4 linked regions of the Rhinolophus ferrumequinum genome follow. The protein of the gene in region 1 purifies or fractionates together with the protein of each later gene. This does not show direct contact. Links are inferred from orthologs where the notes say so. Each region holds a gene or a part of one and is shown in the gene's direction. Other genes may lie near its edges.

Evidence for each region.
Region 2: the proteins of FUS (region 1) and HNRNPM purify together in Homo sapiens (affinity purification with mass spectrometry; 4 studies listed by BioGRID and IntAct, with this or other methods). This does not show direct contact. The link is inferred for Rhinolophus ferrumequinum from reciprocal best matches to the Homo sapiens genes FUS and HNRNPM.
Region 3: the proteins of FUS (region 1) and SNRNP200 purify together in Homo sapiens (affinity purification with mass spectrometry; 3 studies listed by BioGRID and IntAct, with this or other methods). This does not show direct contact. The link is inferred for Rhinolophus ferrumequinum from reciprocal best matches to the Homo sapiens genes FUS and SNRNP200.
Region 4: the proteins of FUS (region 1) and SF3A1 purify together in Homo sapiens (affinity purification with mass spectrometry; 3 studies listed by BioGRID and IntAct, with this or other methods). This does not show direct contact. The link is inferred for Rhinolophus ferrumequinum from reciprocal best matches to the Homo sapiens genes FUS and SF3A1.

What each region holds. Positions count from the first base shown.
Region 1 is NW_022680357.1:239,738-247,894, reverse strand, and holds the start of FUS (RNA-binding protein FUS), read left to right. Parts: upstream 1-5,133; 5' UTR 5,134-5,256; coding exon 5,257-5,269; intron 5,270-6,679; coding exon 6,680-6,704; intron 6,705-6,793; coding exon 6,794-6,945; intron 6,946-7,651; coding exon 7,652-7,796; intron 7,797-7,961; coding exon 7,962-8,149; intron 8,150-8,157. UniProt on the Homo sapiens protein: DNA/RNA-binding protein that plays a role in various cellular processes such as transcription regulation, RNA splicing, RNA transport, DNA repair and damage response. Binds to ssRNA containing the consensus sequence 5'-AGGUAA-3'.
Region 2 is NC_046301.1:57,246,697-57,254,651, forward strand, and holds the start of HNRNPM (heterogeneous nuclear ribonucleoprotein M), read left to right. Parts: upstream 1-4,912; coding exon 4,913-5,025; intron 5,026-7,955. Other genes in the region: E3 ubiquitin-protein ligase MARCHF2, read left to right, coding at 922-1,080. UniProt on the Homo sapiens protein: Pre-mRNA binding protein in vivo, binds avidly to poly(G) and poly(U) RNA homopolymers in vitro. Involved in splicing.
Region 3 is NW_022680356.1:1,943,886-1,950,956, reverse strand, and holds the start of SNRNP200 (U5 small nuclear ribonucleoprotein 200 kDa helicase), read left to right. Parts: upstream 1-3,938; 5' UTR 3,939-4,046; coding exon 4,047-4,091; intron 4,092-4,526; coding exon 4,527-4,690; intron 4,691-5,551; coding exon 5,552-5,723; intron 5,724-6,262; coding exon 6,263-6,455; intron 6,456-6,916; coding exon 6,917-6,972; intron 6,973-7,071. UniProt on the Homo sapiens protein: Catalyzes the ATP-dependent unwinding of U4/U6 RNA duplices, an essential step in the assembly of a catalytically active spliceosome. Plays a role in pre-mRNA splicing as a core component of precatalytic, catalytic and postcatalytic spliceosomal complexes.
Region 4 is NC_046308.1:19,547,895-19,555,501, reverse strand, and holds the start of SF3A1 (splicing factor 3A subunit 1), read left to right. Parts: upstream 1-4,585; 5' UTR 4,586-4,685; coding exon 4,686-4,748; intron 4,749-7,607. Other genes in the region: CCDC157 (coiled-coil domain-containing protein 157), read right to left, coding at 4,360-4,420. UniProt on the Homo sapiens protein: Component of the 17S U2 SnRNP complex of the spliceosome, a large ribonucleoprotein complex that removes introns from transcribed pre-mRNAs.

The sequences.
Region 1 (8,157 bases):
TCTAGTGGTCGGCTGAGAGATGCCCGCAGGTTGATTCAAAGCTCCCACAGACATTCAGGAATGTGAGCAGTCGTTTGTCATTTGGCCCACAGCTATTAACCGGTTAATTATTCCTGTGTTTCTCTTCCTCTCCTGCCTGCTGTAATTGAATTTAGAATGTCTTAGAATTTTTCTCTTGTCACAGATATTTCTCCCGTCGCTTGTTTGCATGTTCCGAATTCTAAAAATCTCAAACAACAGTGCGTATGAGGCAGGCAAGTATAGGTAACAGAAACCCATTCGAACTCTCTTAATAAAAAAGGGGCACATTATTATAAGGATGTGGTGGGTTTCCTATTGAATCCCAGGAGATCAGAGCTATGTGTGCTGGACTTCCAGACCTGTGCTGTCCTACTGTAGTGGACACTAAACACATGTGGCTACTAAAATTAAAATTAATTAAAATTAAATAGAATTTAAAGTTCAGTTCCTCAGTCTCACTGACCACATGTCCAGTGTTCATACCACCTGTGGCTACCCGGGGGACAGCTCATTTCTATCATTGCAGAATATCTCATTAGATAGCCAGCATTCTAGATGGTTTGTCCAGTTCACAATAACCGTTCCTCCTGTCTGCTTTCCACAGGGGTGGAAGCTTAGCTGCTATTAAATCAAATTTAAAAATTGTTTGCCCTTGCTTGTGACAGCTCAGGGCTCTCATAATAAACCAAACGCCTCGGTATGGCCTAAAATGCCCTGAAGAAAGAGGTTCCTGACTGCTCTTTCCAATCTCATACCATCAGTCATTTCTAAGGACACGGCCTAAGCTCCCTGGCCAGTTCTTGATCCAGGACAATCGTCTCAAGCTGGGCCAATCAGTTAGCAGGGATGGTGGCCTGCTGGTGATTCTGACTAGCCCTGCCCTCTGAAGGGTTGGTATTTCTCCTAGTTATCTACAGAGGGGGCCCGCTCTGTATCTTGGTTTTGGAATTGGGTTGGATCCGTTGATAGCTACAACCTTTCTTATCAATGGTCTTAAGTTTCTGATCACTAAAGCCTTGGTTAGGTTAGTACATGAACTGTCTGGGGTCCGACAGGCTATCCCCACTCAGCTCATGGAAGAAATGGTGAGGCGTTCTGATCCTCTTCTGCTAGGGACCATTCTGCAGAGGGCTAGATCTGGGGAGAGTCAAATACAGCTGGGGATCTCCAACTTGATTTCTACCTTACTTCTGGGTTGATTTTTTTTTTTAATTGGAGAATATTGGGGAACAGTGTGTTTCTCCAGGGACCATCAGCTCCACGTCATTGTCCTTCAATCTAGTTGTGGAGGGCACAGCTCAGCTCCAAGTCCAGTTACCGTCTTCAATCTTAGTTGCAGGGGCACAGCATCCCATGCGGAATTGAACTGGCAACCTGTTAAGAGCTCGTGCTCTAACCAACTGAGCCATCCGGCCGCCCCTGGGTTGATTTTTATGATAGACCATAGCTTAATGGCTTGAATCCTAGTTCAGGAGTTGGCAAATGATGGCCCTAGGGCCAACTCCAGCCATCAGCCTGTTTTTGAAGTAAAGTTTTATTGGACCACAGACACTCCCATTCATTTACCTATTGTCTATGTCTGCTTTTGAGATATGAAGGCAGAGCTGAGGACTTGCCACTGAGACCTTTAAAAAGCCTAAAGTAGGGGGTGGCCGGTTAGCTCAGGTGGTTAGAGCGTGGTGCTCTTAACAATAAGGTTGCCGGTTCGATCCCCTCATGGGCCACTGTGAGCTGCGCCCTCCACAACAAGATTGAAACAACTACTTGACTTGGAGCTGATGGGTCCTGGAAAAACACACTTAAAATAAATAAAGTTAAAAAACAACACACCCTAAAGTATTTACCATCTCCCCATTAAAACAGAAAAGTTTAATGACCCTTTTCCTAGATGGTCAAACTGTGGCCCTGATTCTCATTTAAAACTATTTTATAAAGCTAAATGTAAATGATTTCTAAAGATCGTCAGTGAAGAAACAAAGATCATCGAAGTTTAAAAAAAGAAAAAGGCTGACGGTACTTGACAGTCAAAGGAACTCATCAGTGAAGAGGCATTCACTGGCAGGGTTGCTGAGAGTGAGAAGTCAAGAGAGGTTTGAGTATTAGGAAGGGATTGTCAGGGTCATATGCTAATTAACAACGAAAAACTAACACTTGGGATGGATGGGAATGAATTCATAGGTCTGACCCAATTGGTTAAAACAGAGTCCCATTGCTCATTGGCCAGGAAGGAGTCTTCGTTAGGTCCAATAAGGGTCCGGCATCCAGTGAGTCACTCAAAGGCCACACCTGTTTATTAGCTTCAGCTGGTCAGAACCAGTTGTGATGAAATACAGTATTCAGTTTGAGTATCTTTCAGGCAAGTGTTGCTATAAATGGAATCTTCCCTTTTAAGAGATACACCCTAATTACGTTTCTGGCCTATTTCAATACACTATTTGTATGGCTAGTGTGAGAACAGACCAAAACAAAAATGAGAAGGAGATTGCGATAGCCATTCCTCTCCTTTCTTGCTAACTGAACCCCAGTGTTCTTTAGCATTGGGTGTACGGGGTCACCATAACATACTTGAACAACAGTATGTACAGGATGGCCCGAGCCCTCAGTTTTCAAGAAAAGACAGAAGCGTGGAGTTTGCCCTATTCTATGTTTTGGCAACTCGTTACAAAAATTAAAAACAACGTTAGGCTACACAGAACCTGTCTGCAGCTGCATCTCACAGCAGGCCCACAGCTGGGGTCTTGGGTCTCAGAGGAGCTGCGAAGAAGGCTGAAGACAGAACCCTGGAGGGTGAGTAAAGGCAGAGAACGAAGGGGCAGGAGATAGAATGACGGTGGGAAAGGTGGGAGGGTCGGGAGAGGGGTGTCCTTCGTGTAAAGAGACTTTTAAGGAGAAGTAAGAGGCCCCGTGTTCTGTGACTCAGAGAGACGAGTCCGGAGAAACCTACCTCCTGGAGGTCACAGTTTGAGCCTATTTCTCCCTGCCACTCTGCCCACGAGTGCCCTTCCTCACCCATGGCTTTGTCTCTGCCATTCCTTCTGTCAGTTACACCCTTTCCTTTCACTGCTGGTGAACTCCTACTTATCCTGGGAGGCCTGGCTTCAGTGTTACCACCTCTCTTTCATCTTCTGTCCTTGGGTGTCTACCTGATGGATGACTCGCTTTCCCTATAGTGTCTGGAGTCCTTGATTCTATGTCACAGCACATTTAATTTGAGTACACTTTGGTGTCTCTGGGTCTCACCCACATCTCAGCCACGGGTTATAAGGTGCTGTGGTTCCAGGACTGACCCATTTTTATGCTTTGTACATATCACACAGTGCTCAAGAGATGTTTGTTGAAGCACAGGGGTTAAGAGCAGGAACTCTGAGACAGGCTGCCTGGGTTGGGAACTTGGCTTTGCCACTTTTTCTGGGTCGCCCTGGGCATAGCTTTTGACCTTTCTGTGCCTAGGCTGCTCATCTGTAAAAATGTATTCCTCCACCAACTTTTATTGTGAATAAGATCGAACAAGCTATACTCAAAGCACTCAGAATGGTGCCTGATACTTAGCAAGCTTTATGAAATTGTTATGCTCTTATAAACGTTACACATTTAATATATAAACACTATTATGGTTAAATGTTAGTTTGTTGTTAAATTACTTCATCTGTTTTGTGCATCCTCAGTGCCCAGAACACTTAATATTTGTAGAATTAACGAATGAATGAGTGATGGATTTCCCTTTGCCCTTACTCCAGAGTCACACTGCCCTCTCAATGCGGGTAGGGGTGGGGGACAGGGCCATCAGGGCCTAAATCGGGGTTAGCAGCAGTTTGTGGGCAGGCCTAGGGCGTAGCCCTCAATTGTTTCTCCGGGAAAACACGTCCAACCTACAAAGGAACTCTGGAACCGAGGTCACAGGTATGTAGGGAAGGACAATCTGTGTGCCTGTGAACCAGGAATGACTTCCTTGGTGGTGTTTTATTCCATACGTTCAAATCTCCCGTTCCAGGCAAGTTACAGGTTACTTCGACCGTCGCGTTTTGTCCTTGCTTTCCCAGGGAGTGGACAGACTTCAGGGCCCCGCAAAGGGTTCACGTCACCAACGAGAGGCGAGTTTTGCAGCCACACAGACTTGGGGTCGAATGAGAACCCCTGACCTTTCGCTGCACTTGGCCTCTGAGCCTCGCTTTCCTTCCCTATCAAATGGGCACAGCTTTACTTGCTTCCCAAGATCGTGATGGGGAAAAAAAAAAAAACCATTAACTGTGCACTTGAGCCCTATACAAACATGTCACTACTGGATGTCCACAGTGGTGCTTGGTAGGGCTTCGGGAAAATAAAGAGAAGCTCCTTATCAGTAAAAGACTGAGAGACCCCTCATCTCATCTCTAAACTGAGGTCCCGCGGGTTTGGGGGGGCGATGAGCGCGGCGTCAGGCGACGCTGCATGCTGTCCTGCAGCTGAAACGTCACAATCCACACACCCTGGCAAGGACGAAGGAAACGCGACTCTGCAAGAGGGGGGGGTGGGGGGGTTGTGTGGGGGGGGGGGGGGGGGGGGGGGGGTGGGGGTGGGGGGGGGGGGGGGGGGGGGGGGGGGTTGGGGGGGGGGGGGGGGGGGGGGGGGGGGGGGGGTGCGGGGTGGGGGGGGGGGGGGGGCGGGGGTGTTTCAGGGAAGACACAAACGTCCTTTCAAGAGCCGGGGAGGATGGCGCCCGAGCTACGAGGCGTCTTGGTGCAGTGCAAGGGGAGTGCAGCGTAGGGGCGCGTCGTCCCCAGTGAAAGTGGGGCCCAGGGAAACGGGCCCGCCCGAGAAATTTCGGTTCCGCCCTGCGGTTCCAGGCTTTGACTACAGTTCCGTCCGCCGATGCCCTGGGCCCCCCCTCGTCCCGCCCCCAGAGGGTAATCAGACCGTACCATTATTTTAGGGGGGTAGAGATCATTGTGGGCCAGTCCTGCAGAGCGAATCGGAGTTTTTTGTTAGAAAACACATGGTTCTACATACTATTGGAAGCCTCTTAGTCGACGTGCTTCCCTTCTGTCGGCTCAGCCGTCTATGTTCACCGTAGAGCGGGAGGCGGCCGCTCGGACTCCCCCCCTTACTTTCACCTTTGGAACATTCCTCCGCGGTACGTAGGCGGGGAAGCGTACATAAACGTCGACGCAGGCGGCGGGGCTGCTCAGTCCTCTAGGCGTCGGTGCTCCGTAGTGTCGGGATCTCGCTGCGTGTCGGCCCGTGCGCGCGTGCGCCGACATGGCCTCAAACGGTATGTGAGGGCGCGAGGCGGCAGGGGCGCGCCGACGGGGGGCCTCGTTCCCGCCCAGCGGCGGTTTTGTGGGTCGGGGAGACCGGGCGGCGGTCGCGTAGAGGAGCGTCTCGTACCGCGGTGGCGGGAAACGGCGGCGGAGGGTGGAAGGGGGAGGCCGATGTCGCCATCTTGTTTCGCCGCTCTGGCGCCTGGCGCGGGGCGGGAGGGCCTCCCTTCGCAGCCCCGTTACGAAGCCCCACGACGGTGAGCCCGTGTAAGAGGGAAGCCCCTGGGCGGTTGGAAACGCGGGACGCGGATGGACACGCGCGGCGTCCGTGGCCGTTCCCCCCGGGTCCCCGGCCCGGCCGTGGGGCCCGCTTTGTCGCAGTGCTGCATCCGGGCACTCGGCGGGCGCACGCGCTCTGCTGGCCCCTCCCCCCTCGCTCGTGGCGCGAACCCCCCCGCCCCCGCCCCGTGTCGGGCGGCTTTCTGTCGCGAGACCCTCGGCGGGAGACGCGGCGGGGCGCGTCCGGTGTGGGCCCCGCCCCCGGGGTCCCTCGGGAAGGGGCGGGACCTCCCCGTTCCCGCCTCGGGTGCCACGCGGCCGGGGGCGGTGGCTCGGGGTTCGGGCCGCGCACCCGTTTCCCGGAGGCGGGGTGCCTGGAGGTCGTCCGAGGGGAGTGGGGCCCGGGCCCCCGCGTTTTCCCGCCTGAATTTCCTCTTTCCGCGGTGGGAACGGGAAGGAGCGGCCACACCCTCCCCCGGTCTTTTGGCCCGTCCCTGCGGGGAAGCCCCTCGTTTACGGCGCCGTGGGGAGCGGGGGTCTGGCCGGTGCGTCTTCGTTGGGGGCGCTTCGCCCCCTCTGGAAGCCTCGGGGAGGGCGGGGCGGTGAGAAAACGGGTTCCGGGGAGCCTCAGCCCCGGGGCTCGAGAGCCGGTGACCTCGTCTCCCGAGACCAGCGCCTCGATGACGCCCGGGGTCCCCCCTCGGGTGTCTAGCTTTGCGCTGAAAGGCCGCTTCCCCAGCCTCGCAGACCAGGGGGGGCGGACAGTAGAAGGCGGCCCGCTCCGGGGGCGGTTTTGTGTTCTGGCTGGAGCACGGAGCCACATCCGGAGCAGCGCTGCCTCCTGCCTCCGGCCTGCGTTCAAGGCCGTCCCGCTGCGGCGGCTCCGACCTTAGCTTGTGTAGCTCGACCCTCGGCCGGGCCTTCCTCCCAGAGCGGTGGTGGAAACCAGACGTGTGTGAGTGCGTGTGGTTTCCGATGCCGGTTGAATTTGCGGGCCGGGAACGGTGGGTGTCCGCCGAGACTTGGTGTTGCCGGTGGGTGTTGCGGCCTCTTAGTCTTCGTAGCAATGCGCCTTTTCTTTGCTTTGTGCTCTCCTCTCGTAGGGACAGGCGAAGGTGACATGATTGTTTTTTCTTTTGCAGACTATACCCAACAAGCAACCCAAAGGTGAGTGTATTTTCTGGGCGTCCAGAGGTTGCGGAGGGCCAGGGTTGCTAAGGTAGGTTTCCTGATTGCACCGGTTTTCTTTGCTCCAGCTATGGGGCCTACCCCACCCAGCCTGGACAGGGCTATTCCCAGCAGAGCAATCAGCCCTACGGACAGCAGAGTTACGGTGGTTACAGCCAGTCAGCGGACACTTCCGGCTATGGCCAGAGCAGCTACGGCTCCTACGGACAGACCCAGAACAGTGAGTCTCTTTTTAGTGGGCCACCCCGCCTCTTCCTGCTCTTTCTGAATGTTGCTTTTCTTAAACCTAAGCTGAAGTGTTAACTGTCACATGTTTCTTTGTCCCTCATCCAGTCTATAACCCTTGGCATCTGAGTCCTTTCAAACCAAACGCTTATGGGCTTGTTTCTTTTCATTTTTGGCTTTTTACTTTTCTATTTGTGTTGCATGAAGGTGAAATGTGGGGAAAGTATTCACTAAAGGGAGCAAGTTGTAGGCTTTTAATACTTAACAGGAAGGACATGATTTGCCTGAAGATGTTTGAAGTCAGACTGTTATCATGTGCTACCTAGAGCGGTGGAGTTTGCCCTGAGGTCCTGCAGTGTAGAGAATGTGGGTTGTCCTATTTTATACTGCACAGCTGAGTAGGTTGAAGTGCTGTTAACGAGTGGGGCCTCTGGGGCTGTGCTTACTGGTGGTCCTGGAGACGGGCTTTGGGATGAAGGCGTTGAGATTGGAATTCTGAAGCTGGTGGAAGTTGGAACATGAGCCTTAGCATAGAAGAGAAGGGTAACTCCTTTGTCTATGAGTTGCAAGATTTCTAAACAGGTTCTAAGAGGCGACTTTTCAAGTAGAGCATTAGGTAACATGTAATGCTTTCTTCAGTTCATTCTGTGCCTTTCTCTTTCCTTGTAGCTTTTATGACTTCCTTTCTCTTTTCCACGTAGCAGGCTATAGCACTCAGTCAGCTCCCCAGGGCTATGGCTCAGCGGGTGGCTATGGCGGCAGCCAGAGTTCTCAGTCGTCCTACGGGCAGCAGTCTTCCTACCCTGGCTATGGCCAGCAGCCAGCTCCTAGCAACACGTCGGGAAGGTAAGGCGTTGTGGGGGGAGGCCAGAAACAGGAGGGCTGAATCTATAAGGGGCACTTAGGAGGGGTAGCGGGGGTGTCTGTTGAGGTCAGAGTTCAGAGAATGGGATGTACAAAGTGAAAGCAAGTTTTGGACATGCTGGCATTTTTCTTTTTCCTCTTCCATAGTTACGGTAGCGGTTCTCAGAGCAGCAGCTATGGGCAGCCCCAGAGTGGAGGCTATGGGCCCCAGTCTGGCTATGGCAGCCAACAGCAAGGCTACGGACAGCAGCCAAGCTCCTATAATCCCCCTCAGGGCTACGGACAACAGAACCAGTACAACAGCAGCAGCGGAGGGGGTGGTGGAGGCGGGGGAGGTGAGCAG
Region 2 (7,955 bases), on another chromosome or scaffold:
ATTGACATTTATTTAAAAATAATGTTGATAGACTTTGTTAGAACAATGTAAGGTTCACAGCAAAATTGAGCAGAAAGTACAAAGAGTTCTCATATATTCTCCCCACACCCAGGCACAGCCTCCCCCACGGTCAACATGGCACCAGAGTGATACATTTCTTACAGTCGTGAACCTCCATTGACACATATGTCTTTATCACCCAAAGTCCGTAGATTATATTAGGGGTCACTCTTGATGTTGGACGTGCTATGGGTTCAGACAAATGCATCATGACATGTACCTACCATTAAAGTAGCACACAGAATAATTTCACTACCCTAAAAAGCCCCTGTGCCCCACCTATTCATTCTTCCCTACCCTAGCCCCTGGCAACCACTGCTCCTTTTACTGTCTCCATAGTTTTGCCTTTCCCAGGATGTCATAGAGTTGGAATCATACAGTTTGTAGCCTTTTCAGATTGACTTGTTTTACTTAGTAACATGCATTTAAGGTTCTTCCATATCTTTTTATGGCTTGGTAACTCATTTCTTTTTAGCACTGAATAATATTCCATTGTCTGTATGTCCTAAGTTTATTTATTCACCTACTAAAGGACATCTTGGTGGCTTCTGAGTTTTGGCGATTATATGACCTATCGACATTTAATCCCTTCCAGGAGATTATACCACTTCACTCTCACCCTCTGAGAGATCCCCTCACCTTTGCAGACCTGTGAACACTGGTGGGAATATTCCCAGGAGAGTGAATGGCTGTGTGTGGGCACAGTCTGTATGAAAATTGCCTGGCGGCTGACTCTGCTTCTGGAAGCAAGAGCTCCGGCCCTGGTGTGGCCCAAGTCCGGAGGCTCAGGGGCCCAGTTTTCCTCCCTTGGGGGTGGAGGCCTGCCGGCTGGCCTTCCACCCATGCCTGCACTGCCCACAGGTCTCCTTCCGCTACCATTGCCAGCTGTATACTGAGTGGAGGAGGACCAACCAGAAAGTGCGCCTGAAGATCCGGGACACGGATGGCCCTGAGGCTACCCAGCACTCCCCACTGGCCGCTGGACTCCTGAAGAAGGTGGCAGAGGAGACACCTGTGTGAAGGCCCGGCTGGCGATGCCCTGGTGTTCAGAAGGACGGGAACTGCCCGACCCTTCCTGCACGGCCAGAACGCTTCTTAGGCCAAGAGATGCCAAGTGGAGCTGATTCTGTGATGCTGTGTGAAGGTGTTTTCAGATTATTTTGCACACTATTATACATGAGGAGGACAGATGGATGTGGTCCTGAGCTTCAGACGGAGCAGGCACTCTGATCTCATTCTGAGGTCCACTCGGCCCCTTGTGGGCCCGCAGCCGTAGCCATAGGCTAGTCGAGGGCGCCCATGGGGCGGGGGTCCCGCAAGCTTCTTGCGCTTCTCTGCACCTGGCAGGCTCGCATTCCTGGCACCCTCGACTTTATAAAGTTGCACCGCGTTTCACAAACCCACCCTGAATGAATAAAAGGAGCTCTTGCTGGATAAAATGGACTTGTCAATTACATTTTGGAACCGAGGCCTCAAAGTGAGGGACCTGGGACCAAGGGGAATCAGGGACCACACAGAGGTTTTAAAAAAATGCAGTAGGCTGGTTTGAGGGATCTATCGTGGAACACAGCAGAAGAAGTCAAGCCTGAGTTTTCAAGTGAAGAGCAGGTAGCAAAGTTATCTAATAAATGATTTCAAATATACATAGGAAGAACAGTTGCCACTTACTTTGCATCTACTATGGGCCAGATGCCGTGCTGGGCCCTTGACACTTATTAATAACTGATGTCCACACTTACTAAGGGTCTCGCTGGATGGGGCTCAGTTTGGAGCCTTCACAGGCTTCCTCCGACTCTCACCACCATCCTCGGTGGGAGGAATGGCTATGACCTCCACTTTGCAGATGAGAAGACTGAAGCCCAGAGTTGGGAAGCCTCTGTCTAAGGTCCCACAGCTCTAGGAAGTGGAGTTGGGACAGATCACAGGTCTGTGTGGCCCTAGTGCTGAGCTTTGTGCTTCCCCTTCTAGGAGGACTCAGGAAACAAGGAGAACGGTCATGCTAATAACAGCAGCCACTTTTTGAGCGTTTTAGGAGTCTTGGACGTTTGGGAGCTCTCTGCATCGGGCCACATTTAACACTCAGAGCAGCTCTGAAAACTGGGTTCTGGGGTTCTCTTATTAATCCCTTTGGCAGATGAGCAAATGAGGCTCAGAGCAGTGGGGTCGCTCACCCAAGGTGACACGTCCCCGATGGGCCTAGCAGTGTCTGGCACACTCTATTGTTTTCTGCATGAATCCCGGTCTGGTCTGTGGCTCACCCACAGAGGAAGAAAAACCCTTTTTACGCCAGACTAGAAGGGCAAGGAGAGGCTGGCCAGCTTGGCTGCGGAGTGGAAGGAACAGCAAAGAGAAAGGCCTAGGGGTTGGAACCTGCACGGCCCATAGAGGGAGCAGCATGGCAGACGTCGGTGCTGTAGCAGTGTGATTGAGAGGCAGAGGGCTCGGAGGGAGGCAGTGAGACAAGCAGGGCTTTTAGGCATCTGGTGGTCTGCAGAAACACGGGGTTACACCCTTCTCACCTCTGCAGCTGCTCACTCTACCCAGGCCTGGCACCTACCTCTCAGGCCATCTTTGGAGTGTGGTGCCCCTGGAGATGAGGCAGAGAGGCCCCAGGATAAGCCATCATGAAACGAGAAAGCTGTTTCCTTTTCAGGTCTCTTCTAATATTTTCAATTATGTCCAGGAGAAAGTTGTAGCTTGGTGCTAAGGCTGTCTTTAATGACCCCTAACCTTAGCAAAGAGAGCAAGTCTTAGGCTCAGAGACTTTGGCAGCATGCACGACTGAATTTATACTTTAATAGCATCATCCTCTTATTTAGTTTTTGTTGTTGTTGTTGTTGGGGAAGGGGAACAGGACTTTATTGGGGAACAGTGTGTACTTCCAGGACTTTTTTTTTTCCCCCAAGTCAAGTTGTTGTCCTTTCAGTCTTAGTTGTAGAGGGCACAGCTCAGCTCCAGGTCCAGTTGCCATTGCTAGTTGCAGGGGGCGCAGCCCACCATCCCTTGCAGGACTGGAGGAATTGAACCAGCAACATTGTGGTTGAGAGCCCACTGGCCCATGTGGGAATCGAACCGGCAGCCTTCGGAGTTAGGAGCACAGAGCTCTAACCACCTGAGCCACCGGGCCGGCCCGGCCCTCTTATTTAGTTTTTACAATAAGCTATTTATAGGAAGTTTTCAATATAAAACACAATTTTAAAACACGTACTTTTAAAAGGAAAAACAAGGTGTGTCAAAGGAAAGTGCAAAGTAAGTAATAGTTCTGAAGATGGCAAAACCCAGGAATCTGGGCAGTATTGGGTCCAGCTTGCAGGAGACCAGCCTGGGAGAGTTTGTCTCCTCAGCCAGGGCCTGGCTTGTCTGAAATCTCCAATCACACCCACTGTGGGAGAAAGGATCAGAGAGGTGGCTTCTTGTCCCTGATGCTTTGCAATGGGCCTCTTCTCCCTGGTTCTGACAGACTGCTGTGGTCTCTTCCACCATCTCTGAACACTGCTGGGCAAAGAAATTCAGAGGTTTATGAGGCTTCTTCTGTCCCAAGAGCCCCTCCAGTGTAGGAGAAATCTAAGGGGGAGTGGGGTGAGGTCCACAGATTCCAGCGTGGCCATGGCAGAAGAGTTGCTGTGCACAGTGGATTTGAGTAGAGAGGAGATATCAGGAAGAGGCATGGGAGGCGGCGGGACTTGAAGATGGGCCAGAGAAGGGAATTCTGTGAGACAGGTAGTTTGCGACGTATATGGGAATGGAAGTGGAAAGAGAGGGTGGGGCATAGCCTCCTGTCATGTTGGGCTACCTGATGAATTTATTCTGTAGGTCAGAATCACCAGGCAGAAGTAAGCAGCTGGGAGAGGGTGGCAGGTGAGGTGGTTCTCCAGAGACTGGTGGAATGTAGTCATTCTGTGAGAGAGGTGGAAAAAAAACAAAACAAAAGCATTTCCCTTTGTTAGCCTTGGGAGAGGTTGGTGGCAACTTCTGTAAGATTCAGTGAAGCATTTCGAAGTTCCAGAGACACCAGAGAGATGGGCTGCCGGGGAAGGAAGCCTGAAGCCTCTGAACGCACCCCTAGGCTCTGGCCTTTTCTCTGGGCTCTGCCTGTAACAGCACTGAAAACCAGTTTGGGGTCAGGGACAAGCCCTCAGGGCAGAGGGACCCAGTGTCAGGCAGAAGGAAGCTCCAGTTGTGGCTAATGGGATCTGCTGGCCTGTAGTTCATTTTTCCCATCACATTTGGCTTCTGGCTTGTCCATTCACTCAATAAACGATGAGTATGAATACATACTAAGTCCTCAGCTATGCTTTTTGTGGTTGATTGATGGGTTTAGTAAGAAAGGCTTAGGCCATGGGCTCTACACCCGGGAGCTCCCAGCGAGTGGAGAGAAAGGCTGGACAGTGCCAGTTATTCTTGGTGCAGGATGATACTTGCTTAGAGACATCATTTTGCACACCAGTCAGTCTGGCCCGTCGGTATTCTGCCCTTGCCTAGCTAATTCCTTTATATTCTAGTAAACACAAATTTCGCTGCCCCTCCGCTCTAGCTGATTACGTAAAGAAGGAAGTGACTAGGTCCAGGTAGGGGGTGGGGAGATGACTCCTGCTCCCAGACCTCGAGAGCGGGTGGAGTATCCAGTAGACGTCTAACGAATTTGTCGCGGGAATGAATGAATAACAGCTGCGGGTCCGCGCATGCGCGCGGCGGGGGCATGGCCCGGAGCAGGGGCGTGGCCCGGGGGGAGGGGACTAGGCGGGAGCCGGCCGCGGCGCGCGCAGGCGTTACTGGTCGCTCTGGATCACGTGAGAGCGCAGGCGCAGCGCCGCGCAGCCCGCTCCCTCACACAAAGCCAGACGCGGAGAAAATGGCGGCAGGGGTCGAAGCGGCGGCCGAGGTGGCGGCGACGGAGCCCAAAATGGAGGGGGAGAGCGGCGCGCCGGGCGCGCCGAGCGGCAACGGGGCTCCGGGCCCGAAAGGGTGAGTATTCCACGGCTCCTTGTTTCGGGTCGGGCACTTTACACGGCAGTTGGCGGTGGCTCCGTTAAGTCTGTTGGCTGCCTCCCCTGAGCCGGGCCTCGGCCCAGGCCTTCCCCGCGGGGCCTGCCGCGGGTGGAGGCGGACAAGGCGTGAGGAATGAAGCCTGGCAGTCTCGGGAGCGCCTCAAGGATTACTCCTTTCTCCCAGGCCTCGGGCGTCTATTCTTCCGGCTCCTGAAGGCCGGGTCCGAGGTCTCGGGTCTAGTCTTTGCGCGCGGGGATGATGGCGCGGACCCGGCCGGGAGCGGGCGAGTCCCAGAGTCTGCGGCCCGCTCGCTTGTCGGGTGACCTTGGGCGCGTGGTTTCATATCTCCCTCCAACCCCTCCAGTGCTCGGCGTCTCAGTTTCCCGATCCCTAAAGTGGGGGGAGGAGAGTGCGCGCGCAGACCTTGGCTCGTGGTCGACCACGGTAAACGGTAGCGGAGGCGGGTAGCGGAGGTATAGGTAGGGACCGGGAGGCCGGCTCCGGGGGCCTTCTCTTCCCCTCCCCCTCCGGCGCGCGCCGCCCCCCTCTCCCGCCCCGCGAGAAGTGCCTCGGTCGGGACCGCCCCTCGCCCCACGCTCTGGCCCTGGCTCAAGTCCCTCGCTGCGTCCCTCACTTCCTCCCCAGGTGCGCAGTAGTTATTTATGGAGAGATCGGGCCTGCTGCTCCGTGTGCACCCTTAGAAACAGGAAAAGAAAAAAAAGAAAACATTCTCTTCCGTGTTCTAGGGGAAGATTTTCCATCATTCAGCTGGCCACCCACTTCCAAATTCCGTCACCTTTCGAGTCCTGCTTGAGGCTCTGTCTCGGATCCTTGGTTTTAAAAATTTCCTTAAAGCATCATTTTGTGTCCCTGTGAAACCCCCCATTTTGATTACAGTCACCAGAAAGACGTTTTGGCTCTGACCAGCAGCTGTGGGGGAGGACAGGGGAAGGCTGGGGCACACATCTGATTTCCTAAAAGTTTTTAAAAATTGCGGTAGCATAAAATTTACACTTTTAACCATTTTTAATGTATGATTAAGTGTCCTTAAGTGCATTCACAGTGTCGTGCAAACATCACCACTGTCCATGTCCAGAACTTTTTCATACCCCAACTAAATTGTAGCCATTAACCAATAACTCCCCATTTTCCCCCCTCCCCAGGTCCTTGTTACCTCAGTTATACATTGTCTCTTACGAATTTGCCTTCCAACACATTTTTAATGTGCTTAACTATAGTTTGTGGAGATTAAAAGTGAGTGTAGTTAAAGCAAGGTTAATGAGCACTCACTAATTACTAGCTACTATGCTGTTAAACTTTCCTTGGGTGGGGAGGAACAAAATACCGTGGTTCCTCGTCCTCAGGAATCAAGAGAAAGGCATTCTGGAAATATTTCCAACACTTTACTATTGAAAACTTTGGAGGGATGTGTTCAGTTTAGACTTTTTACATCATCTGTCTGGGGGGAGCCTAGTTGGACTTCTGAGGGCCCTGGCAGTACATTTACAGTACATTTATTTCCTGTATTTTTTCTTTCAAAGTAGTTATCACAGGTTGGAGCTGCTAGAACTGTGGTAGGTGAGAAGTTGAATTAGTCATGGATTATGTAGCATTTGAGGTACTTTAGCAAATTTCCCATTTTCCCCACTGTTTAGTTTCTTCAAAATCATTTTATGACTGATTTATTTGACAAACATAGCATGTGGACTATTAAAAATAAAAATTTATGTTTACTGTAGATTACCAGGGTGGTAATGTTAGTGTTAAGTGTTTTGCAACGGAAGAAAAAAAAATTTTTTTTTAACAGTTGAGAAAACTCCAGTTAAGATAATTGACCCAAAGAGTCTAGGGAAGGCCATCTTGACTCCAAGGCCTTAGCTGCTTCCACAACACCACCCTGTAACCTCTTACTAAACAGTCATTTGAAATGTATTATTTAAACCAGGGTCTCCGTGCTTCGCAGTGATTTGAGAGCTACTTTGTGTGTGTGTGCACAGCGCGCGCCCCATAATTTAAAAAGGGATTGTATATTTGATAAAAAGAATTTTTGAGGCACGTTAGATTGTGAGCTCAGGATTAGAATAGGGGCCTCTGGATTGTTCAAATGCATGCTGTCAGCTCTTTGCTTTCACTTTGCTCTTTGATTTTATTCACAGTAGTTAAGCAAAGAGATAGAGTCCGCAAAGATTAGGTTGTTTGTTTTCTTTTCAGGGTCCTCAGGTGGGTTCTCCCATTACCATGTTTTGAAAGCTGAATTGCTCCTTCCATAGTCTGTAATGAGTATAATGCCTAGGTTTCCTCAGCCGCTGTTCTGGTGAGCTTGTTTTAAAACCTAATCAGTATCTGCAATGGTAGAAGGCTAGGAGTGAATCAGGCTACCTCCCTACTTCCCTCAAGAAAATTATTGGTAGGAAAATATATCACTGCCAGTCACTGTGCTGAGTCGCTGCTTTAATTAAACCTGTAGGTGTGGATAGTAACCTTTTACAGGTGAAAGAACTGAGGCCTAGCAAAGAGATGGTGACCTTGAGGTTTAGGCTTGGTATGGGACCCTACTACCTTAGTCACCTTAAACGTTGCGCTTAACATTTACCAAGCAATTTTTTTTGTTAGGCTGTTTGTTGATCAGCCCTGTGAGCTACCATGGACACAGGTTTTGCTGGTTTTGCTGGTAGAGAACCAGCGAGGAAGAGCTTGAGTCACGTGGCTAATTAAGTGGTGGACCTGGAGCTGGAATAGTGCTATGAATAGTGCTCTCCACATCTTATATGCATTAGAGGAGCTCAGGATTGAAAGGATTTCTGTGAAGAATCATTTTATGTAAGGGATGGTTCTCAAGGGGATTGGGGGCAGGGTTGGAGAATCTTTACCCTCAGGAAATGTGTTCAGGATTTTAGGGGATTGGG
Region 3 (7,071 bases), on another chromosome or scaffold:
CATTGTGTGCTTCCTGTACGGGGCATTAAGAAGGACACAACCCGCTCAGAGAATATTCTTGCCCCCCATGCCTAACATCTATAACCCCTACAGTGGGGAAACAAAGTCAAATAGAAAGACATTTTACAAAATAACTGGTGTGTGCCCTTCCAAATGCCAGTGTCCAGGAAGATGAGAGAGAGAGAGAGGAAGGAAGGAAGGAAGGAAGGAAGGAAGGAAGGAAGAAAGGAAGAAAGGAAGAAAGGAAGAAAGAAAGAAAGGAAGAAAGAAAGAAAGGGGAGGAACAATTCCTGACTTGAGGAGACTAAAGAGATGACGATTAATGCCATGCATAATCCTGCACTGGATCTTGGGAGCTGAAAAAATGCTGTAAAAGACATTATTGAGATAACTGTCAAAATTGGAATATGGGAATAGTATCATATTACTGTTAGTTAAGAAAATGGCCTTATTCTGTAAAAATTCACACAGACGTATTAAGGAATAAAGGGACACGATAATGTAACTTTAAACTATTTTAGAAGAAAACATTAGAGAGAAATAGAGAATGGTAAAAATGAATTTGGCATATGTTCTTTGGTTAATGTGGATAAAGGGTACATATAAGTTTGAAATTACTTCAGTATAAAAATTTTGAAAATAAAAATGTTACCTTTATAAACACCTTAAAATACTCCATTAATTTCATGATACAGGGCACATCTTGAGCAAACATGTTACCCTTTAGAGAAATTCTATGCTTAATTTCAAGAAGAGTAAACATTCAGAAACCCCCGCTGACCTAGTCACTTCCTGTCTCAGCCGCCCATGATGACATCCGTCCAACAAACAGACATGGTTCTCATGTAACAGTGAATGCTTGCGTGCTCTTTGGTTAATGTAACTGATCATATGAATACAGGAAAATGAAAGGAAGAAAACAAAAATCATCCACAACCCCACGTTTTGGAGTAGGTCTGAAAGATGTCCACAGAGATTGTAGGGCCCAACCCCACTCCCTGCAGTGGTGAGGCCTGGGGCAAGCCATTGGACCACTTTATGTCTCAGTTTCTCCATCTGCAAAATGGAGAAACTAATACGGCCTTGCTCAAAGGATTGACAGGAGGAGTTAGTATTTACAAAGAACCTAGAGCTATGCCTGGCCCATGGTAAATGAATATGCAGTTACATAAAGTTTCTTTTTCTCTTTTTTAAACTGAAAATCATGACAGGCAAAACTAATCTATGGTAGAAAAACATGAGAACACTGATTGCCTCTGGGGGTGGAAACTGATTTAGAAGGGCCTGCGGGAACTTTCTGGGGTGATGATAATGTGCTATATACTGTGGTAGGGGTATGCATTTGTCAAAGCTCCGAGAATTTTACATTTAAGGTTTGTGTATTTCATTATACGTAAATTTTATTTCAAAAGATCGAAGAGAACTGTAAACAGATATTGAAATATGGTTAGTGATGTTCATGCTAACATATTTAGGGGAAAGCGTACAGATGTCTGTACTTTGAAATGCGTCAAAAAATAAAGACGGATGGATAGAGGGTTGGATAGATGGACAGAGATGTGAGAAAGCACGCATGGTAAAATGTTAATGTTAGAACTGAGGTAAAGTTCCCCATCAAATTCCACGCCTTGACTGTGACCCCTTTCCAAAAAGTCTACATTTATATATATAGGTATGACATTATTTCACTTTTAAACGAGCATATGGCAACTTGCACACTGAAATGAGTTCTCAGTCCCTGCACACCAGCCACCTGGAGCGGCCACACACTTAGATTAACGGTGTGGCCCTGTACCACAGCATTCCAGCACAGCCACCCAACCTACAGCTGTGACACTGGATACACCTAGTGCTGGCAAACTGTTACCTCCTGTGTGAGGGCTGGAGTCTGGGGAAGAGCCAACAGTCATTCAGAACTGATTTTGGTAGGTTCGAAGGGCCATTCAGGTTCAGTAAGACCATTTGGGATAGAAAGGAAGGATATGACAAAGAAGGAGGCAGTTTTCCTGTGTTTGAATCATAAACTGCCTCCAAACACAAAGCGTTTCATAAATACCTTTGAGAAATACAGCTCTATTGGACAATACTTGACACTCACTATTTCCTGGCATACTTATAGGCGCCCAGCAACCCTATGGAGTAGATGAAACTATCCTCGTTACACAGGTGACACACCTGACCCACAGAGTCACTAAGGACTTAGAACTTATCTAACATTGCACAGCTGGTAAGGGATGAAGCCGGGATTTCAACCCAGGCAGTCTGATACAAGGGCCCATGTGTTGAATCACACATCAGACTGCCTCTTGGTTAAAAGCAGGGCACTGCCTCCTAAGGTGAAGACCTGGAAGGGAACAAGCCTGCTTACAAACATACACCAGGTGAATTAATTAGAAGATCAATTTTGTCTCCACCTAGTTAAACTTACATATATCTACACGTCATATCTGTCTTGTTTCCTGGTGCAGTGACTGGCACATAGAAGACAGTAACATTTTGCTAAATGAGGACATGAACGAATGAATGAAGTAGTTCAAAAGTATGCATTATCGGTGAACTGATGTTCCAGGCAAATGGAGAGAGAACTACCATTTACTGAATCCCTCCTCTGTGCAGGCCACTGCATCTACCGGAGTCCTGTGATTGAACCTCACTCTAACCCTATGAGCTGCATGTTCAATCCTGGGTCAGGAGGCATTTCACCATCGAATAAGCAAGTTACCAATGCACTTTGAATGACCCAGCATTCCTTTTCCCCGGCCCCAAGCGTTCAGGCAACCTAAAGGCTTCCTGGACACACCAAAGACAATCACCAAGTTCCTCTGAGTTTTGTTCTCATTTCTAATGTTTCTTAACCCCTGCCTTAGGTACCTCCAGGAGGTACAGCTCACCTCTTGCTCCGTCTCCTGCAGTAGCCCCAGCTGTACTAGCTGTCTCTGGCTCCCCTACCCCCCCTCTCCCACTCTCCTTCTTACCTTGCAATGCCCAGCTCTGTGAGGAACCCCTGTACAGAGGGCCTGGAAAGAGAAGGACTGCCTTTGAGGCCAGTGAAGCCAGGCAAGTCAGCTTATCTTCTCTGGGCCTTGATTTCTTTATTGGTAAAAGTAATCAATAGATTTCATTGGGCTTTATGGAGATTAAATGAGATAATGTATGCCAAAGTGGCACTTTGCAAATGCTTGCCACATGATAGTTTTTTGCTCAATCTAAATGTTGGTGCCTCTAATCAAACACCTGATGTAAAGTTGCAAAAAAACGAAAAACCCCAAACCAGAAACCTGCTATGGCTTCCTACTGTCTCCTAGGCTAAAGTGCAAACTCTTAACAGTGGCATTTTTTTTTCCCAAGAGATTCTAAACGATATCTATCCAAATTATATCCCATGGTTCCATTTGCCCCGCGCTCAGCTAAACTGAGCTCTTAGCAGTTCCCAGGACATGCCTCAGTAGGCTGTTATGAATAGTACTTCTATGGACAAGAAACCCAAAGGAGGACATCAGTCACTCACTGAGGCGCGAGCGCGCACACCCGCAAGTTATTATAAATTACTCGCTGGGTGCTTCAGTTTCCTCAGCCGGAACTGGAGCTAATTAGCTCCTCCCAGCCTGCACAGCCCACAGGACAGATGCCACTGTCAGGAGCGGCTGGAAAAGCGCTGGGGTTGGAACGAGGGGGCTAAGCAGGTGAACGTTTCGTCAGGAAGTGAAGAGCCTTTGGTGCTGAAGCCGGAGCCCGAGGTAGAGGAAGAGTATGGGCGGTGAGTCCGAAGTGGCAGGAGGTAGCCGGAACCAGAGTCGGAGGGTCCCGGGATTCCGGGACCCGGAATTCGCCGGCCCCACCCAGAAGGGAAACGGCGCGCGCCCGCGGAAAATGCGCCCCACTTGCACTTCCGGCGCGCGACCCGGAAGCGGAAAAGAGCTGGTTTCTCTCCGTCTCCCGTGCGTCTCTCCTGCGTCGTTCCGACCCGTCGGGAGGGCGGAGAGGCGGCATTTCGTAGTGTGTGGTAAGGGGTAGCGGAGCGCCAAGACCCCGGAGCGGCCGCGGCCATGGCGGATGTGACCGCCCGTAGCCTGCAGTACGAGTACAAGGCGGTGCGTATGGGCTCCGGGAGGACTCCGGGCTCGGGAGCCCTTTGGGGAGCGAGAGGCGGCGGAAGGTAGTTTGTCTGAAGGCCTGCAGGAGAACCGCGAGAGTGGAGGGGAGATCGGATCCGGGGTCCCTGTCCTGTCAGCGGTATATCCGCCCCCTTCCAGATGCCACCCCCAACATACCCAGCACTGTCCGCGGTGTGGCTTACTATGGGCGTTGTTAGGAGCAGGATGGGTTAACTGATTTCGTTGCCATTTACTCATGCGCAATTGTGGGATACTACTAGTGGGTCTTGAGGAAAACATCTTTTTCTGACTAGTGATCGTTAGCACCTGCTTGCTCCAGTTTTTACTTCCTTTATCATCCTCTGGCATCCCTGTGACATAGGAATTGGCCCTGCTCGTGTCAGAGGTTCCATAATATTGTGATCTTTTTAGAACTCGAATCTTGTCCTCCAAGCTGACCGCTCTCTCATCGACCGGACTCGCCGGGATGAACCCACAGGAGAGGTGCTGTCCCTGGTTGGGAAGTTGGAGGGCACCCGGATGGGAGATAAGGCTCAACGGACCAAACCACAGATGCAGGAGGAAAGAAGAGCCAAGTGAGTACCAAGGGGAAAATGGTTTTCCTTCAGAGCCAAAATCTCTCTTTCCTTGAGCATTTGAACAGCTTTTTTTGCTGAAATGCTGGGTGTAAGATGAGACGTCAATAGCAGTGAAACAACTCCGTGAAGATAAAAACAACATAAGAGTTAGAAGGTCTTTTGTCCTCAACAAATGTGCCTGAAGTGGAAAACAACGTTTAGACCTTTTTCTAACATATGTGTTTCTGGTCCATAGAGAGATGTTAATTTTCTTCATGATGTCTTTAAGACTCTTGCTATTCCCTTGTCACGGTAAATCTTTTTTTTTCCATTACGGATTTCAGAGTCCTATTTTTTTCCTCTGCTGTTGCCCATGTTATACTTTTGTTGTTATAGACTAATGTTTAAGCAGCCATGGAACGAAACACAGGTTTTTTTCACTTTTGGGGGGGATATAGTTCTTTTACATTTTTGTTACAATTTATTCGGAATCAATGGCAGTAGATTCTTTTGGCGCTTCATTTTCCCTGGCTAGAAAAAGAAAATGTGTCTGGGGTGAAAAACTATTCAAAATCCAATTGCACAATATGGTCTTACAAAATAAAAAGGTGGTTTTGTTTTTTGTGAATGAATGAGGAGGATGTCTTCCTGTGACATTCAGTGCATCTAGTGGGAGAGTGAGAGGAGTCCCGCTCTGGTGCTGTGTTCCCGGAAGGAAACACACCTGCAAGTGACTAAGGCCAGATGGGACTCGTGCTGAGGTGCAGTCGCTTGGATGTTACCTGTGTGCCAAGAAGCTGAGGAGGAGGGTGGGCTTTCTTAGTGTTGCCTCCGAGGGCAAGGTTCTGCCCGTTCGTTCACCATCACTGCGTCTGCCAGGCGAAGGAAGCGTGACGAGGACCGGCACGACATCAACAAGATGAAGGGGTACACGCTGCTGTCGGAGGGCATCGACGAGATGGTGGGCATCATCTACAAGCCCAAAACGAAGGAGACCCGGGAGACCTATGAGGTGCTGCTCAGCTTCATCCAGGCTGCTCTTGGGGACCAGGTGAGGCAGCCCCGGGGTGAAGCCATGGATGTGGACACGGAGGGACTCACAGCTGGGTGCCAGAGAACCTTGCCTGTGGATGTTCCTGTGTGGGCCATGCCAGTTTGCAGAGGTGGCTGATATTTCCTGAGCACTTACTTTATGTGAGACAGTGCTTCCCGTGTGGTTAGGGACCATTATGAGTCTGAGGCTCTGGTCAGGTGGGTGCTAGAGGAGGCGAGGATCGAGAATTCCAGAAGTTTGGCAGGCCAGTGGAAGACTATGGAGCACGTATACCACCTGGAGAAGTGTGGCAGACGATAGTGGAAGCCATGCCCTCTCCTTCCTAAGACCACCTACCTAATCATTTTTAAAACAGAGGGGTCTTCAATTATGTGAGTCTGGTGGCATTTTGAATTAACATTAATGACTATGATCAGAACCTGGAATGCAGGGTTTAAACAGGTATGACTCCTTACATCCTGTTGTCACATAAAGCTGGTTGGTGATGTTCTGCCTGTCATTGTTCTAAATGTTTGTTGGGTCGTTTTTGCCACCAGCCACGTGATATTCTTTGTGGGGCAGCTGATGAAGTTCTGGCTGTCCTAAAGAATGAAAAGCTTCGTGACAAGGAAAGGAGAAAGGAGATTGACCTGCTGCTGGGTCAGACAGATGATACCAGATACCACGTGCTAGTGAACTTGGGCAAAAAGATCACAGACTACGGTGGAGACAAGGAGATCCAGAACATGGGTAACTGAACTCTTTATGTCCTGATCACATTAACTGGCTGCTTGTTAACCCCTAAACATGATCTAGCTCCAGTCTTTAAAACAGCTGAATGTGTCAGTGAGTTCCCATAACCTGTGGTGTTTCTTGAATAGTTACCATTGCTGGACACCAGAAGCCCTAGATCACTGCAGCCATTTCTTACTCTGGACCCTTTTGTTGTATAGAACATGGGAGAAAATCTGGGCAGAGCCTGGGGAGCTCAAGTGGTTGAGCAAGCAGAACAGGGACTTAACCCAGTTTTGGCAGGTGGGGAGGGCCTTGCTGGTGGCAGTACAGGTGGCTCTCAGTGTCCATTGTAAAGTGAGTCCTTAGACCTGCCATCTGTCCTGAGAGGGAAGTCAGGCAACTGGGGAGGAAATGAGCTCCCTGGTGCTTCCTCTTGCTGTCTGTTCACTGTCCTCTCTAACCCCTTGTTGTTTCAGACGACAACATTGATGAGACATACGGGGTGAATGTACAGTTTGAGTCTGATGAGGAGGTGAGTGCTGCAGCAAACAGACACAGCTTATTCCTGGTTTTTGAAATTGTTGAGGCAAGGGGACCACGACTAGTGTAAGGAAGCCCCCAGCTGAAGCCA
Region 4 (7,607 bases), on another chromosome or scaffold:
GAGGAAAACCTGAAACTCTGTAATGACATCTATCCTACAGGGGGCCCATTATCCATTGATACAGAGAGCCCAGTCCTGCCCTTCCTGGCTTTGTGTCCTTGGACAAGTCAGTGCACCCCTCTGAGCCCCAGCTGCCTCAGTTGTGAGGTGGGGACATCCTTCCCAACCAGGCTGGGTGGTTGTGAGGCCTTGAAAGTGTCCCCAAGTCAAGTGCTTGGTCCAGGGCAAGGCCTCAGTCAAGTTCTCCAGCAGGAGTGACTATTATTATTGGGATGACTATTACTAACAGCTACGACAGCAAAGGTCACCCTAGTCTGGAGCCACGGCTTTCTGTACTTCCGCTTTTCCCCTGCGGCCCATGCAGCCTGTTTCTTGTCCATCTTTAGAGTCTATGGACATCTGAAGACAGAGATTTGGATGAACCATCCATGGCCCCTGACTCAGAAGGTGGAGAAGTGACACTGCCCCAGCCCGTCCTCTGGCTCATTGCACGCCTCGGGGGTTCTCCTCTCTGGCACCTGCCGTCAGAGCCAGCCCTCTCTTCAGAGCCAGGCAGCCCTGTGGACGCTGAGTACTGGTCCCTCCCCACCCTGTGCATTTCTCAGCATCAGAAAGTGCTTCCTTGCACCACAGCCCCTCCTGGCAAGGGCCGTTGGGCAATATTTAGACCATGGCCCCTTGGGCCCACAGTAAGTCCAGGACTGACCATGACACCTCTCTTCCTCCAACCTATTTCTACCCCCCAATCTCTCTCATCTCAGAAAATGGCACCCCCACTGAGCGCACCTGGGCACTTCCTTGAGTCCCCTTCCTTTACTTCCACATCCAGTACCAAGTGCTGCCAATCCCATGTCCAAAGCATGCTGAGAACCCAGCACTTCTGTCCATCAACACTGCTCCACACTCACCATCTCCCCAGACCACTACCACAGCCTCCAAGGGGTCACCCTCTTCCCTTTGCCCAGCACCACCTCTCACATTCTATATATGAAGCCAGAGTGATTATTTAAAAAGGCAACTCCTACCCCAGCTAGAACCCCTGAATGGCTTTCTACAACATAAAGACTGGACTGCTTCCCTAGGCTCGAGCCCTGGGTGGTCTGCCCCGACCTCAGCTTCTCCCCACCTACAATTTGCGCCCCCCACCCCCATACTTCCTCTGGATAAGATACCTCCCTCAGTTCCCCAGGCCAGGTAAAGTCCCGTTACACATTCTCAGAGTATCCTGTTCTTTTCTATCCCAGCACTCACCACACCAGCACTGAATCATTATTTGAGTAATTATTTGTGAGGGGCAGTCTGTCTCCCTGCAAGCGCATGGACTGTCTTTTGAGTTCACTGGGGTATCACCTGGCCACCTGGGCCAAGGGGCCCGAGGGCCAGCCTGTGCCCACAGGTGCTGGGACACTCAGAGGTACCCAGGGGTAGCTCCCGAGGGCTGAGCTGGCCTCTCTGGCCTCCCAGAGTACTGTGCCCTGTTCTCACCTCTGTGTAGGTGACTGCCTATGGAGCTGGATGTCTGCACGGGCGCCTGCCCAACTCTCGGACCAGCCTAAGGCTCAGGGTCAGAGGCTCATCCAGGTACCTGGCTTCCTGTCTCCAGTGCAGGGCTGGCCCCAAACAGCTCTTGGGTCCCTGGGAATGGATGAAGGCAAAAGTGAATGAGCGATCACTCAGGGAGAGCTTATTGGAGGACAGGGAGGAGGCTGTCCCAGAAGAAGGAGAGTGTTCCCGGCTGGATGAATGGGGTGAGGGAAAAGGCAGGTGGGGTCACCTGAGTTGAAACTGCACATAGACAGCATCCGTCAACCGTGCTAGTTCTGACCACAGGACCTACTGTGTACCACTTCCCTACTGTGTACCACTTCCCTACTGTGTGCCACTTTCTTTATACAGATGAGAAAACTGAGGCTCTGGAAAGTTAGGAGGTTAGCCTAAATTCACTCAGGGAGCTGGGATTCTTGAGTCCAACATCTCTGTTGTCCTCAGGCCATGCTGCTGCTGGAGCAGCACTGTCCAAAGGAAATATAATGAAGCCACATATGGGATTTCCAATTTTCTACTGGCCACATTAAAAAAGTAAAAAAAGAAAGAAAGAAAGAAAGAAAACAGCTAAATTAATTTTAATATTTTATTTAAATATTATCATTTCAACATGAAATCAATATAAAGTCATTAAGGGGATTAAAAAATTTTTTTTTAATTTTTATTTTGTTTTGCATTGAGTCTCAAAATTCAGTGTCCATTTGACACTTACAGCATATCTGAGTGTGGATCAGCCACCATTTTCAAATGTGCCACCACATGAGCTGGTGGCCACGGTATTGCACAGTGTAGGTGTAGAGGGCCAGATCCTGTGTGTTCATTCAGCAAACGGTGACTGAGTACCTACTATATCCTGGGCACTGTGTCAAGAATAGGGATAGAGCAAGGCACATGGAGCCCTGTCCACGAGGAACCATCATCTATATCTGAGGGTCTCTTCAGGGAGCGAATCATGGGTGTGTCAGCTCTATCAGTCTCACCCACAGGGCCCTGAGTATCTACCCCACAACACACACACACGCACACACACACACACACACACACGCACGCACACAGGCCCATATCCCATACATATATGTTGCCGTGGTGACTGCCTCTAGTGAGATATTGCCACCCATGAGATTTTATGTCCCCAAGAAATGAGGCAGAAACAGACAGAAAAAAACAGACTGAAACATCCTGGTTTTCCTTTTTGGAAAGGGAGGATGGGAATAAATAAAGCAAGCAAGAAACCCTACCCTGGAAGGAGGCGCTGGAACTCAGGAGCTTGCTTATGAAGACACCAAGAAACACTGACCTGTTCACCCTCAAATAACTCTATCTGCCATCTGAGGCCATCTAAGATACCAACTCCTGTTAGATTCCAGTTCTGATAAGCACCAGCAAATGCCAAAGAAGCAAGAATATGTAAGACGAAACTGCGACATTAAAAAATAGCCAAGTTTACCTGTCAATTCTTCTGAACATTGGGGATTTGCAGATATCAGCATGGTTTGAGAACCACTTAGGTGTGTGTCAAGTGTAGGAGCATTTGACATCAGCTTTCTAATTCCTGGCTGAGTGAAACTCTGTCTGAAGCTGCCAGCCCTGCACAGTTCCTGAGGTCACATAGGTGATGGTACTAATTGAGCCGACACTGCCCTGAGGTAGGAGGGGCAGCTAACTGCCTTTCCTCAGTTCCCTTAAGCTCAAGGTAGACTTCTCATTCACAGAGAAGGGAGGGAGCCTTTCCTCCATTCCCATTCAACATTCGAGCCTCTTCCCTCTCTGAGCCCTAGGACCCTACCCCTCTGGTAAAGATTATGCCTACCTCCCCACCAATGCACCTGCTGAGATTCAAGGTCACCACCATGAAAACCCCTGGAAAACCATGTATATGGCAATTGTCAGTCTCTGACTCAGGACTGTGAATTGCCTGGATCCCTGGGGACACTGAAAAAACCGTGTGAAGACAAAGGAATAAGTAACTGTACTAGTAAAGGAGTAAGAATGGCCTGGGTTTGGGTTCCCACTCCACCAACGCTGAGCTTCACTGTCCTCATCTGAAAAGAAGTTGCTATAAGAAATAATTGTTGTCATGCATGCAGTGTTTGGCACAGGGTTTGGCTCATGGTAAATGTTCAATAAATTCTAGATATCATTATGATTCTACATTAATAATAAACAACAATGACATAAAACAGCTATGAGGTGTGTGTGCGAGAGAGCATGAGAGACAGGGAGGAGACTTGGGAGGGCATCTCTTCCTATCATGCCCCCATTTCACAGGTGAGGAAACTGAAGTCCAGACAAGGCCTCAGAGCTGGCCCGCATTCAGGAGTTGGAAAGGAGGGGAGAGGGTACGGGGAGGAGAGAAAGCAAAAAGGGCGGGATTCAAGTAGTGCCTCAGGGAAGCGAGGAAAGTAGCCTACAGGGAGGTACAAGGGGGAGCGAGGGGGTGAAATCTGAAGCAGCTGCCCCAATTTGACACAGTCCGTGGGACTTGAGGGCGGGACTGAGGAAGGCAGGGAGTGAATCTAGAAAAGGCGGACCCACGGGAAAAGGGACCAGAGATAGTTACAGCTTGGGACTTGGGAGGGTGCTTTGGGGGAGGTGGGCCTGAAGCGAAAGAGGGGGATAAAGCAGAAAGGAAGTGGGGCTTTGAAGAGGAGGGCCCGAGGGGGTTTTCCAAAGTGAGAGACCAATTGGAGGGAGCTGGGGCCTTGAAAGGCGGGGTCGGAGGAAGCGAGGAAATGGCCAGTGGAGTAAAGGAAAGGTGTGCCAGTGGAGTAAATGGGGAGGCGTCCGGCAGGTGATGTAGATAGAACGTCTCACCCGTCTCCGGCGTCGCAGCCTCAGCCCCTGTGTCTGGTCGGCTCATAGAACTGACTGGCATGCCAGCCACTTCTGTGAAACCCGGCAAACTCTAGCCGTGTGCCCCGACCGTTGCCATGGCAACGGCGTCTCGCAGGGCGACTCCCATGGAAATTACGTCACGGTGAAGGGGCGGGTCCGGAAGTGCGTCAGCCTTGTCTCCTCGGCGGCGACTCTTTCGGCCGCCGCCATCTTGCGGGGTCGTCGTACTCGCGCTGCGGGCACCGTTTTGACGCAGCGCTGCTCACCTACACCGAGGCGGACTGGCAACCCTGAGCGTCGCAGTCATGCCGGCTGGACCTGTGCAGGCGGTGCCCCCGCCGCCGCCTGTGGTCACCGAGCCCAAACAGGTACCGTGCCCCCTTCACCTCAACCGCCAGCCCGAGCCTAGGCCTGGGCGCTCCTCACTTTTGCAGGAAGAAGCGGCCGCCTAGGCGGGCTTCGAGGGACTGCAAGTCCCAGGAGGCAACGCGCTGCCCTCCAGTAGCGAGCCGAGCTCTGGGACAGTGATTCTCCAAGCGTGGTCTGCGGACCAGCTGCGTCAGCATCACCTGGGAGTTTATTAGAAATGCGGAGTCTCCACCCCAGGTCTTTTAATAGGAATCTTCATTTTAACAAGATCCCAAGGCGATTCATTAAAATTTGAGAAACATTGTTCCAGCCCATCCACCGGTTTTCTGTGGCAATTGGACCCACCGGCTCCCAGCCTTTGCCCAGTTACCCCTGATTTCCCAGCCTGCGGGGTACAGCTCTGAATGTTAATTCTCAGCATCTACTCGGTGCTTAGCCTAAACCAGACACCGTGCCAGGCTTCCAAGTTACTGGAATGAGTGAGGCACAACTCCTCCCTTAGGGAGCTCACAGGCTAGTGGGGATACAGATATACTTAATTCCTCAACAAATGGTTAGTGCCCCATCACTGTAAATAACAGAGTGGAACTTAAAAACATCTCAGGTAACCGAGGAAGAAAGACGTACATAAACAGTTGCAGTATGTTGTGATTTGCCCTATAACAAATTTCAGGTACAAGAGAGACAGTAATCTAATGACCATTGCTTTGACCGGGTGGAGGGGAGATTAAAGTAGGTGAAGCCCACAGGCGTGCGAGGTAAATTGCTTTTAGAAGGATGAATAGGAGTTCAGCAGGGAGGTGATTGGGGGAGGGAAATGGCATTATTTATTCATTCAGCAAACGTTTATTGAGCACATATTGTGTGCTGACCACTGCTTTGGGTTCAGACTACAGTGGGGAACATGACAGAAGAGGTCCATACCCTTTTTTTCCCCACATTTAATTTTTTTTTTAATTAAAGTTTATTGGGGTGACAATGGTTAGTAAAGTTACATAGGTTTCAAGTGTAAAATTCTGTAATACATCATCTCTATATCCCATTGTGTGTTCACCACCCAGAGTCAGTTCTCCTTCCATCACCATATATTTGATAGGTCCATACCCTTTCCACAAATATTTAGGCACCTGTGTGTCCTGGCATTTTCCCAGTCGCTGGGGAAAAATAAAGTGATACCACGTAAGTGCAAAGACAGCAAGATAGGAATCAGATGGTGCCTCTGGTGAAAGGTAAATAAGTGTGGTTGAAGCACAGTGTTGGGGAAGCGGTGGCAGGAGATGCGGTTCAGAGGATTTGAACTTCAAGTAGACAATGGGGAGAAAAGGATTTTAAGCAGGATAATGACACATTCATGTTTCAGAAATTCAGGTATATAAGCAGTGATACAAAGAACTTCGCAAGGAGGATGGAGGATTCGTCATTTTATTTAAAAAAAATGCTGAGGGCCTGGCTACATTGGGGGTGAGCAGAGGGTCTGGCAAGCTCATGTCACAAAACGGCTTGTAGTACAGGCTCTCCAGCCGAAGTGGTATGTTGGAAATCTGGTTCTGCTGCCATCTGGGCCAGTTAAGCGCTCCATTCCTCAGTTTTGTCATCTGTAAAATGGAGATAATTAAAGTATTTACCTCACAGGGTTCTCATAAGGGTTATAAGAGTTAATATAGTTAAAGTGCTTAAAAAAGCATATGGCACCTACTCTGCTCGATAAATGTTACTGTCACTGAATGTGGAGGTTGAAGAAGGGGTAGGAGGCCCAAGTTTCTGGCCTGGTTGACCAGGTGCCTGCTTGGCCATTCATGAGGAAGGAGGATAGAGTTGAAAGTACCTAGGAGCCAAGTGGATCTAAAGCTCTAGCACACAAGTGATTCGGGACATTCATTTGGGCGGGATTGTTCAGCCTAGAGGTGGTAGGGGAAATGGAGGATGTGGTTGTGAGTTCTGGCCTGAGGACAGTGTGAATACCGGGAAGAGAATCAAGAACAGAGTTTTGGGGGTGCCCATTATAGCGCAGGAGGGGAACCAGAAACCAGGAAGGACTGGGATGGAATGCTGAGCAAGAAGGAAAGACAGGCGAGAACAGGGTTTGGGAGTTGAGTGGAGAGTTTTGTGAAGGAGTGGTCATTGATCACGTGGTCGGGTAACTGCTTAGTGGGCTGTGTGTAGGTAGTTGCTTTTGACTTTGGCAAGAGCATTTCAAATGGATGGGGACCAAATGGGAGGTGAGGAAGTGGGAACAGTAAGGCTGTGAAAACTCAGGATGTTTAGCTAGCGGAGGAAGGCGGGGGAGAAGGCCGCAGCAGAAAGGAACATGAGGTCAGGGGAGAAACTATTTTTCTGAGACTTGACACTTTGTTTACTAAAGGAAGACTGGTGAGGAAAGAATATTGCAATGTATTGATAATGAATGTTGAGTATTCCAGTGGAGTTTCACAAAACATTTTGAGCATTGAGTGGTGAAGACTATGGGTGGATACAGAGGAGAGGGTATTCAGTGCAGAAGGAGCAGCCAGCAAGGAGTGTCCTGTTTCTTCATTGGGCAAACAATCGCTATATAGCCGTCCCTTGGTGTGGGGCTTTCTAGATTCTGGAACATGGTTTCTCAGAATGTGGTCAGAGCTCTCTGCATCTGAATCACCTGGCCTCTTGGTAAAAATACAGATTCCCGGTGTTACTGAGATGGTCTAGCTAGGGGAGCCAGGGAAGCTGCTTTTTATTACTAGTTCCCTAGGAGGGTCCCATGTAAGCACAATGCAGTTAAGAGAACCACTCTTCTGAAGAAGAGGGTTCTAACCCAAAGGAAGTTTGCAGGAGAAGGTCTAATGCTCTCAGAAATATGCTAGAAGGGTTTAACCTGGGGG